Neurospora crassa OR74A: one gene and its partner. The protein of the gene in region 1 binds, or shares a complex with, the protein of each later gene. Links are inferred from orthologs where the notes say so. Each region holds a gene or a part of one and is shown in the gene's direction. Other genes may lie near its edges.

Region 1 (4,422 bases):
CGAACTACCGCCTCCTACGCAACTGGATCTTGACTGGTCACCCGTCCTGACCAAAAACAACGAGCGCATCCTTAAGCTGGGCGACCTGATGGTTGTGTCATCGCCGATACCGCACAGCCCACACGGCAAGGAAGGCGGAGAAGGGCATAAGAAGTTGGCTCGCTTCTTTGGCGGCAGTACCACCAAGAAGAGACAGCGGCTTGTCATGATCACCTCGAGCGGCCGTATCGTGTTTGCACCAGCCGGCGGCGAGGAGAAGAAGGCGAAGCAGGAGATTTCACTTCTGGCTTCGGATTGCACGTGGAAAGCCCAAATCGACGCTAAGGGCCAGCCGGTTTGGTGTGTTGACACGGTGAGTAAAATTACCAGCCCCTTTCCCCGATATCCTGTGGAATATATATTCCCCCCTTTATTCATCAGGTGATATCGATATTGATGCTAATGTTCAAGGACACCCCAAATCCAGGGCGGCGTACACTACACCTTTGAAGAACCCAAGTCCTCGGAAAAACAACACAAGGACAAATCCGACAAGTCATCAGACGGAGGAGCAGGAAGAGACGGTGCCAACAACAGCAGCAGCAGCAAGTCTACAGTAGACGAGTGGATCGAGTCGCTGGAGCGGGCCAAGGACCTGGCGCTTTCCCAAAACCTGGTAGGTTCCAACGACAACTTTGGAGACATGTCCATGTCGTCCAGCCCGGCGGGTTCCATGGTGAATATCGGTGGCGGAGGTGGACATCATCACAATGGAAGGGGCCATGGAAACTTTAGTGGCGGAGAGGGCGGGTACAGCATCAGTGACCGATCGGGCCGCAATCAGCTGACCAAGAGTCAGGCGAGCCTGGATGATAGCAGCAGTGTTACAAAGCGCAATCGGTTCAGTCGGAGGCAGTCGAAGAATGGGTTGGGGGCTGCTTTTTGAAGGTTGTCCTTGACCTTGGTTGGAGGAGGAGGAGGACGAAGAAGTAGAAGAGGAGGAGGAGGTGGTGGTGGTGGTGGATGAGGAACCAAGGTCAAGGTTCTATCCGATGAGAAGGAACAAACAAATAGAGAGAGGCAGCAGCAGCAGCAGCAGCATATAAAGACAGCAAGCAAGCAAGCAAGCAGACAGCGACGGCAATCATTCAGTCAGTCAGTCAGTCAGTCAGCCAAGCAGCAGCCAAGGCAGCGAAAGATGGGGAGAAGGGAAAGGTACGAAATTCTAATACTGTTCACACCTTGTACATGCAAAAGCAAATATTGGATAAAAGGTATTGCGATTCGGACGCTAGATTCTTGTTGTATGGTTTTTCTTTTTGTGACCTCGTCAGCGATTCTTTCTTTGCTTCTCTTTATCTGTTTGTTTTTAGTACAAGTAATTCTTGACCATCTTTTGTTGGACGTTGAAATGTCAACTGGTCTCTCTCAGGGGTGTCACATGACCCTACCACGAGTGCCAAGACGTGACATTTGCCAAACTTCCTGCCCTGTGGATGCGGTACTTGGTCAATGTATCTTTTGCGCCTTAACAATTACTGGCTCCACCCGCCGACCCCAACTCTGAACCTCCATCAATCAATTGCTGGCCCCGGACTGCGACTGCGACTGCGACTGCGACTTGCGACAAGCCCGCCCGCCGCAGCTAACGAACGACGCGATCGAAACGCGTTTCCCTTCGGTCCATCCTTGACACCAAGAACGGAACCACGTACGACGCGAAGCGAAGAATCCATACCCAACACCGACTACTCAGTACAGTAGTACTACACGCGTAATCACAACTACAAGGGAGGACACGAAGCACGTAATACAGCAGAAGAAGAAGAGGTGACAAGCAACCAAGTGGGAAATTCGGTTACCAAGTCCTTCTCCTCCTCCCCGCAGCGCAACAAACACGAAACCGAAATCGAGTACACGCGAGTTTCAACAAACACAAAAAAGAACAAGACAAGGACAAGACAAGATGCAGCCCCTGCAGCCCCAGTACCGTGGATACGCACCAGGACCACCACAACCCATCGGACCACCACCACCGGGTCATCACAACCCCCAACTTGTTGGACCGCCGCAAGGGCCGCCGCAACATTCACAGGTCCCTTTGCCTCCGCAGGCGGCCGTGGGACATCATCATGCAGGGCCGGGAGGGGGGCCGCGAGGGGGGCAGCAGCATCATGTGCCACAGCCGAGGAGAGGGGGGATTGGTAAGTCTTTTTTTTCTTTTTTCGTTTTTTTTTCTTTTTTTTCTCTCTCTTTGTTTTTTTGTATCCCTCGTTTTTCTTTCGATTGAGTGCCAAGCGTAAGAGGAAGGGGAAAGATGAACAGTTGTTGTTGATGATGATGATGATGGAAAGAGGACATGTTTGATGCATGAAACGGGCGTGGGACAAACGTCAAAGATCTCCGCTTTTTGCAGATTGCTCCACCGCGACCTATCGACTAGTTCCAAACCTTTCCAATGCTAGACCCGGACGTTCGGGGGAACGATGGTCTATCTTTTTTGAGTCTTGGGAAGCGGGACTTGGGACTTGGGACTTGAATGGAGACGGGTGGGAGGGGCGACGATTCAAACTGACTGGGTCCGGGTCCCCCGTCGTGCGTTCGTTCCCTTGTGTGCCGTGTGCCTGGACACTCCTCCCGCCTACCTCCACATACATACAAGTCTACCCCGTCGGCCGCGGTCGAACGACGGAGCTGAACGTCGGTGCTTCAGGTTTCGCGACGAGCTTAACAGGGAAAGATTCAACATACATACACACTGCAAGCGCGAAATCCCACGCTCCTGCTTCTTGCATCTTGGAACACAAGGAAATTCTTGACAACAAACTTGTGTACCGCACCTTGCCCTGTTTTCTTCCTGGCTTTCTTTCTTGGATACTCTTTTCCCCGCTGGATTATTTTCTTCTATTTTATTTTTTTCTCTTACACCCACCCGACGACGACCCTTGGCTTCTCCCCATTTTCTCGCCCGCCACATTACCGCAAATCTTTGATTACACATTCAACTAACCTCTTCCGGTCTTTCTTCTCTCTTCACAGGGCCCATGATGTCGGCCGGTCCTGCTCACCACCAACTGCCCATCACCCAGGCGCAAATCCAACAAGAATCACACCGTCGCGAGGCCGTCAACCACCTGGCTAAGCTCCGGAGTCGCAAACCTACCGACAAGACCCTACCCGATGGCGTCGAAGAGACTTTGGTGGGCGAGGGCGATGTCGCTGTGGCTTACAAGAAGCTACGCGATTTCGAGAGGCGGCTGGATGCTACCATGAGTCGCAAGAGGTTGGATATCGTGGATTCGGTTAGCAGGAATGCAAAGGTATACACTGTCACTTCTTTTGTCTCGAAGGAGGCTTGACCATTACTGACGCCACTCAACAGCGGTATAAGACACTCCGCGTTTGGATCACCAACAGCGTCGAAGACCAGTACTGGCAAAACAACAACTTCAACGTCGACAGCTTCGACTTCCCCTCCAACCTCGAATCCACATACCGCGTCAAGATCGAAGGCCGACTACTCGACGACGAAGACGAGACCACAAAGGACGAGGAGGATGGAGATAAGATGGACACAACCGACGACAGCACAAAGACAGCAACAAAGTCTGGAGCGAAACCCGTCCCCGCTAAGCCCGGCCAGCGCTACCGCTTCTCCCACTTCTTCAAAGCCCTCACAGTCGACTTCGACCAGCCCACCGCCTCGGGCCGTCTGCCCGTCGACACCACCGCGATAGAATGGAAGAAACCCGAGCGCACGCCCGCCGGTTCCAACCTGCCCGCCTCGGCCGACTTTGACGAGCTGACCTTCAAGCGCCACGGGGACGAGAATGTTAACATCACCATCAACCTCTACCGCCACGAAGACCCGGAGCGCTACGAGCTCTCCCCCGAGCTATCGGACGTGATCGATATGACGGAGGCAACCCGCCAGGAAGCCGTCGCGGGCTTGTTCGAGTACATCAAGTTGATGAAGCTACAAGAAGACGACGAGAAGCGCAACTTTCGGTGCGACGACCTGCTGCAGAAGCTTATTGGGAGAGAGTCGGGACACATTCCCCAGCTGAACGAATACGTCACCCCGCACTTGAGACCACTGCCGCCCATCAAGCTCCCTTATACCATCCGCGTGGACCAAGAATTCCATTCCGCGCCGGACGCCCCCAAACCGACCATCTACGACATCCGTGTCTCCGTTGACGACCCCTTGCGTTCGAAGCACTTGGTGCCGTTCATCCACAACCCCTCGTACGCTCAAACGCTCCGCGAGATTCATCAGCTAGATGAGTCCCTGGCGGTGCTCATCCAAGCCGTCGGCGACTCCAAGGCCAAACACACGTTCCTAACGTCTATGGCCAACGACCCCGTCGGCTTCGTTAAGAACTGGTTGTCAAGCCAGAAGCGGGATCTAGAGGTGATTATGGGCGAAGCCACGAGGGCCGG
Region 2 (4,343 bases), on another chromosome or scaffold:
GGGCAAGTCTCAGGAAGCCATCACCGCTGGGTGCATCTTCATTGCATGCCGCCAAACGGGAGTGCCGCGTACGTTCCGCGAGATTTACAGCCTGACCAAGGTTTCGAAGAAGGAGATTGGCAGGGTTTTCAAGCAGTTGGAATCCTTCCTCCAGAAGATCGGAGGCGAGGAGCATGCAATCACGACCAGCATCCCCACCTTCAACCAGCAATACCAGGGCAAGGGATCTACTACAGCTACCGAGCTTTGCGCTCGTTACTGCAGCAACCTCAATTTCCGCAACTCAGTTGCGGTCGAGGATGTTGCCCGCCAGTTGGCCGACAAGACCAGCACTATTTCGGAGCTGGCTGGCCGTTCTCCCCTTTCCGTCGCCGCTGCGTGTATCTACATGGCATCCCACATCAGGAACGAGTCACGTACGTCCAAGGAGATTGCGACAGTGGCTGGTGTCAGTGACGGAACCGTCAAAACAGCTTATCGTCTCCTCTATAACAAGAAGGACAAGCTGCTTGAGGAGATCTTCCCTGAGGGAGTGCCAAACCTCGACAAGCTTCCTGCGAACTAGGGGCCTCGGGTGCGCGGGTAGTTTGGATAGAGCGTTGGCTCTTGGTGGGCGGCTCCGCTTCTTGATTTCCACGGGACAGAATCGCGGCGTGACAGCATTGCGTTTTCTTAAGCTTGACAGGGTGGTCAGCCTCACTGAGATGACAAGGTTATCCTACTGAGAACGTGGTGGCTTTTAAACTTTGGTTTACGGGCAAAAGACGATCCACAGGCACGTCCGGATTTTCGAGAAGCTTGGAAGCATATTGGTGGTCGGAAGAGAAGCAGGTTATCATATGCCCAGAATAGGGCTGGTGGCTGCGGAGGCTGGTTGCAGCGCGGCAGGACAAAGGGGCCTGGCACACTATGAGCATAAAATGGGAAACGAGGTTAGATCGATCAGCTTCTACTTACCCAGGCATATCGGAAGGGCATTTTCGGGTTTGAAAGTTGATCTTTCCTCGAGGCATTCAGGGGAATTCTTTCGTTATTTGCTATTTGACTTGGCACCGACAGGGACTTGGGGAATCAAGATAGTTAATACAAGATATCAATACTCCCCATATGGAAAACATGAAGTCTAGAAGAGACAGGTTTGTCGAATGTGTCCATAAGCTGGAATCCAGGACTTCAAAGGGATGACTTACACAGTACAGTGCTTGGTTTATCTGGTTGAAGGGCTTTGTCATCGCACCGTAAAGGAATTCACAGTGCGCTTGACCACTACACTGTACACGCCAAGTGGGTCAATGGGCAGTCGCTTCACACGCAAACCACCACTAGCAGGACTGACTGCAGCGGCTTCACGTCTCCCACCTGTCAACCGCGTCTCAGTAATTTTGACATCGTCACCTCCAAACCCCAAACACAACTCAACCGTCCGCCTTGCTCTGCGCCGACACTCCAAACCCCGATCACAGTTTATCGCCAAGCATACAATACGTTAGCTTCGAAATCATGCCTTCCCGGAGATCAGGCCGCGCAGCCGCGAAACGCGCACAACAGGCCCTCGGTAAGTTACTCGATTTCATCATCGTTTATCATTTGGCATTTCCTCCCTCCCTTTGCTTGTACAAATGTATTCCATATTGTGTGGTCCACTCCAACGAATGCAGCAGCCACGCGCAAATCCTTCCATTTCAAACAAGCAGTTACTTATCAAAGCCATGCACAACCAGAAAGCACCCCAAAGACATTCGAAGGCCTAGACGACGAGGATGAGCCTATGCCCGATGCCGATCAAGACGACGCCGAACCATCACAACGAGACGGCGAGGATGATGTCGAGAAGGATGATGAGTCGGGTGGTGATGGACACGAGGAAGAGGAAGCCCCAGAGGAAGACGAGTCGGGCAAGAGCCCAAGCCCTCCCCCAGAGCCTGTCATCCGCCGCCGACGCTTGGGGCGACCACCCAAGAACCGACCTCCCGACTGGGACACTCTGCCGATCGAACCCCCCAATCGTGACGAAAACGCTCCTCGCCGTCGCGGTCGCGGAGGATGGAGAGGCAGAGGCGGCCGCAAGGGCCAGCATTTTCAACCAACCCAGCAATCCATTGACAAAGATGGTACCGTTCTCGACATTATCAACGACGAGGTGGACCTTCCCGAGGACCCGGAGGGTGAGAAGAAGGTCGATAAGCTAGGAAATCTTCAGGATGGTCGCGAGTATCGTTGCCGTACATTCACCGTTCTTGGCCGTGGAGATCGTCTATACATGCTTTCAACCGAGCCAGCACGTTGTGTCGGCTTCAGAGACTCGTATCTCTTTTTCACGAAACACAGAAAACTCTACAAGATCATCGTTAACGACGAGGAAAAGCGGGACATGATCGAGCGAGAAATCATCCCACACAGTTACAAGGGCCGTACGATTGGTATTGTGACAGCACGTTCAGTGTTCCGCGAGTTTGGCGCCCTAATCATTGTCGGCGGACGACGGATCATTGATGACTACGAAGTCGCCAAGGCCCGTGAGGAGGGTGTCGTTGAGGGCGAGCTCGCCGATCCCAACGATATTTTCGAACCAGGCAAGCCTTACAACAAGAACCAATATGTGGCGTGGCACGGTGCAAGCTCAGTTTATCACTCGAATATACCGTCAGTACCACAGCAAAACGCCAAGGTCGCCCCAACCAAACGACGTGTTGCTGTCAACGACGTTAACTGGCAATTGGAACATGCTCGCGAAGCCAGGTAGGCATTCTCTTCTTCGGCAGTTTCCTTGCTACCGGACACAGGAACACTAACATCTCTTCTACGCAGTAACTTCAACAGCATCCTCACCAGCGTCCGCCGCGCCAACCTGAACGGCGTCTATGACATTCACACTAACCAAATGCACTACCCGCACATCATCCAACCTACACATGCCCGCATCACGCAGGTGGTAGACTCTGAAGACGCCTCGTCTTCGTCCTCAGATCTTCCTCTTGTCAAGCCCTCCATATCCCGCAACTTCCTCATCACCGACGTGGAAATCGAGCTGCCACCCGCTGGCATTTCCCCGGCCGCCTACGAGGTACCCTTCCGTACATCGCCCGCCGATCGGGCTGCCTCCGCGCGTGCCGACTTCCTGGCTCCCTTCAAGGGCTTGAGCGCCGTACCTGACGATATCAGGGATCTGCTGCCCGAGGAATGCAGGAAAGCTTTCGACAGTGCGGTGAAGAATGAGGAGGAGTGGTTCGGCAAGTGGGGTGACGAGAAGGATACGACGTGTCGCCGCGAGCCGGTGATCGATAAGGCTATTGTGCCTTATAGCATGAATATCATGTGAGGAGGCATTGTGGATTTTCGACAGATGTCGCGTCTGAAGACCTGTACACAGACATTAGCTTGTCGTTCTTGTTTGGATACAAGCTTAGATTGTCGTGATGACGAATGGTCTATTGCATTTGGTCAGTTCAGGCTCAGCCATTTGCCTTCCACTAGTCTAGTAGACTGCATTGGAACTGGTATGGACGTGACGAAGAACCACACTGAAAGGGGTTTTCTGGGGATATCTTTATGCTCTCGGTATTTCACTTTCAAGATGATGAAGGTTAAGGGACCCGGATGACTTGCGATGCGCTCGGGCTGGGAGCATCCGAAGAGGGGACAACTGTAACGAAAAGTGGAAACCACGTTGGTCGTTGGGGAGGTGGTTCTCATCCATCATTGATTTTCCATTTTGTTTGCCCTACTGGTTTTCATCTCAATGCTTACAGGTCGAGTATCTGTCAGCTGAGCCATTGCGGGTTAGAGCAAGGGAACGAGGAAGTGCTTGGTAACTTCTTGTCTATTTATAATATACCCAGCTTGTAGACATCTTCTCAAGTTCCTCTGTGTACTGCCCATGGTGTCCATGGCTGCGCTGATCAGGGTGATTGGAGATTGGTGATTGGTGAATTGAACTTCGTCTCACTCATTAGACAACGACTGAAGCTACTGCTGCTGTCTATATCAACAAGACCAAACCTAGGGCCACATCATCTCATGTTGGGTAATGACAATATGATTTGAGTGAAGTACATATGGCGCTTTAGCCTCGACTGCTATGACTTCTGCTCCCAACGTTGAGCGTGACGACCCTTTACGCCGTCGGGCGAACGTTCATTCCCATTTCAGCAAAACGCATAACTCACAGATGGATACATTCGTCGATGTACCTACGGTCAGTAGCTAAGGGTTCTCAAGGACACTTGGCTGAAGCAATGGTAACACTTTGGTCCTCATAAACAGTAGACAAAGGGCACTGGTGGGGGATAAATAGTTGACCTACAAGCAACGAGGAAGGCCCGATCGGTTTGCTCATCCATATT

The links.
Region 2: NCU03572 (region 1) and NCU07290 share a complex: the UniProt entries of both Schizosaccharomyces pombe proteins name them as parts of the RSC complex. The link is inferred for Neurospora crassa OR74A from reciprocal best matches to the Schizosaccharomyces pombe genes ssr3 and rsc7.

Annotation. Positions count from the first base shown.
Region 1 is NC_026502.1:186,469-190,890, reverse strand, and holds the start of NCU03572 (SWI-SNF complex subunit), read left to right. Parts: upstream 1-1,569; 5' UTR 1,570-1,945; coding exon 1,946-2,183; intron 2,184-3,018; coding exon 3,019-3,299; intron 3,300-3,361; coding exon 3,362-4,422. Other genes in the region: stk-23 (serine/threonine protein kinase), read left to right, coding at 1-352, 467-925. UniProt on the Schizosaccharomyces pombe protein: Component of the chromatin structure remodeling complex (RSC), which is involved in transcription regulation and nucleosome positioning. Controls particularly membrane and organelle development genes.
Region 2 is NC_026504.1:4,505,424-4,509,766, reverse strand, and holds NCU07290 (nuclear localization protein), read left to right. Parts: upstream 1-1,366; 5' UTR 1,367-1,500; coding exon 1,501-1,555; intron 1,556-1,721; coding exon 1,722-2,739; intron 2,740-2,808; coding exon 2,809-3,319; 3' UTR 3,320-4,041; downstream 4,042-4,343. Other genes in the region: NCU07289 (transcription initiation factor IIB), read left to right, coding at 1-565. UniProt on the Schizosaccharomyces pombe protein: Component of the chromatin structure remodeling complex (RSC), which is involved in transcription regulation and nucleosome positioning. Controls particularly membrane and organelle development genes.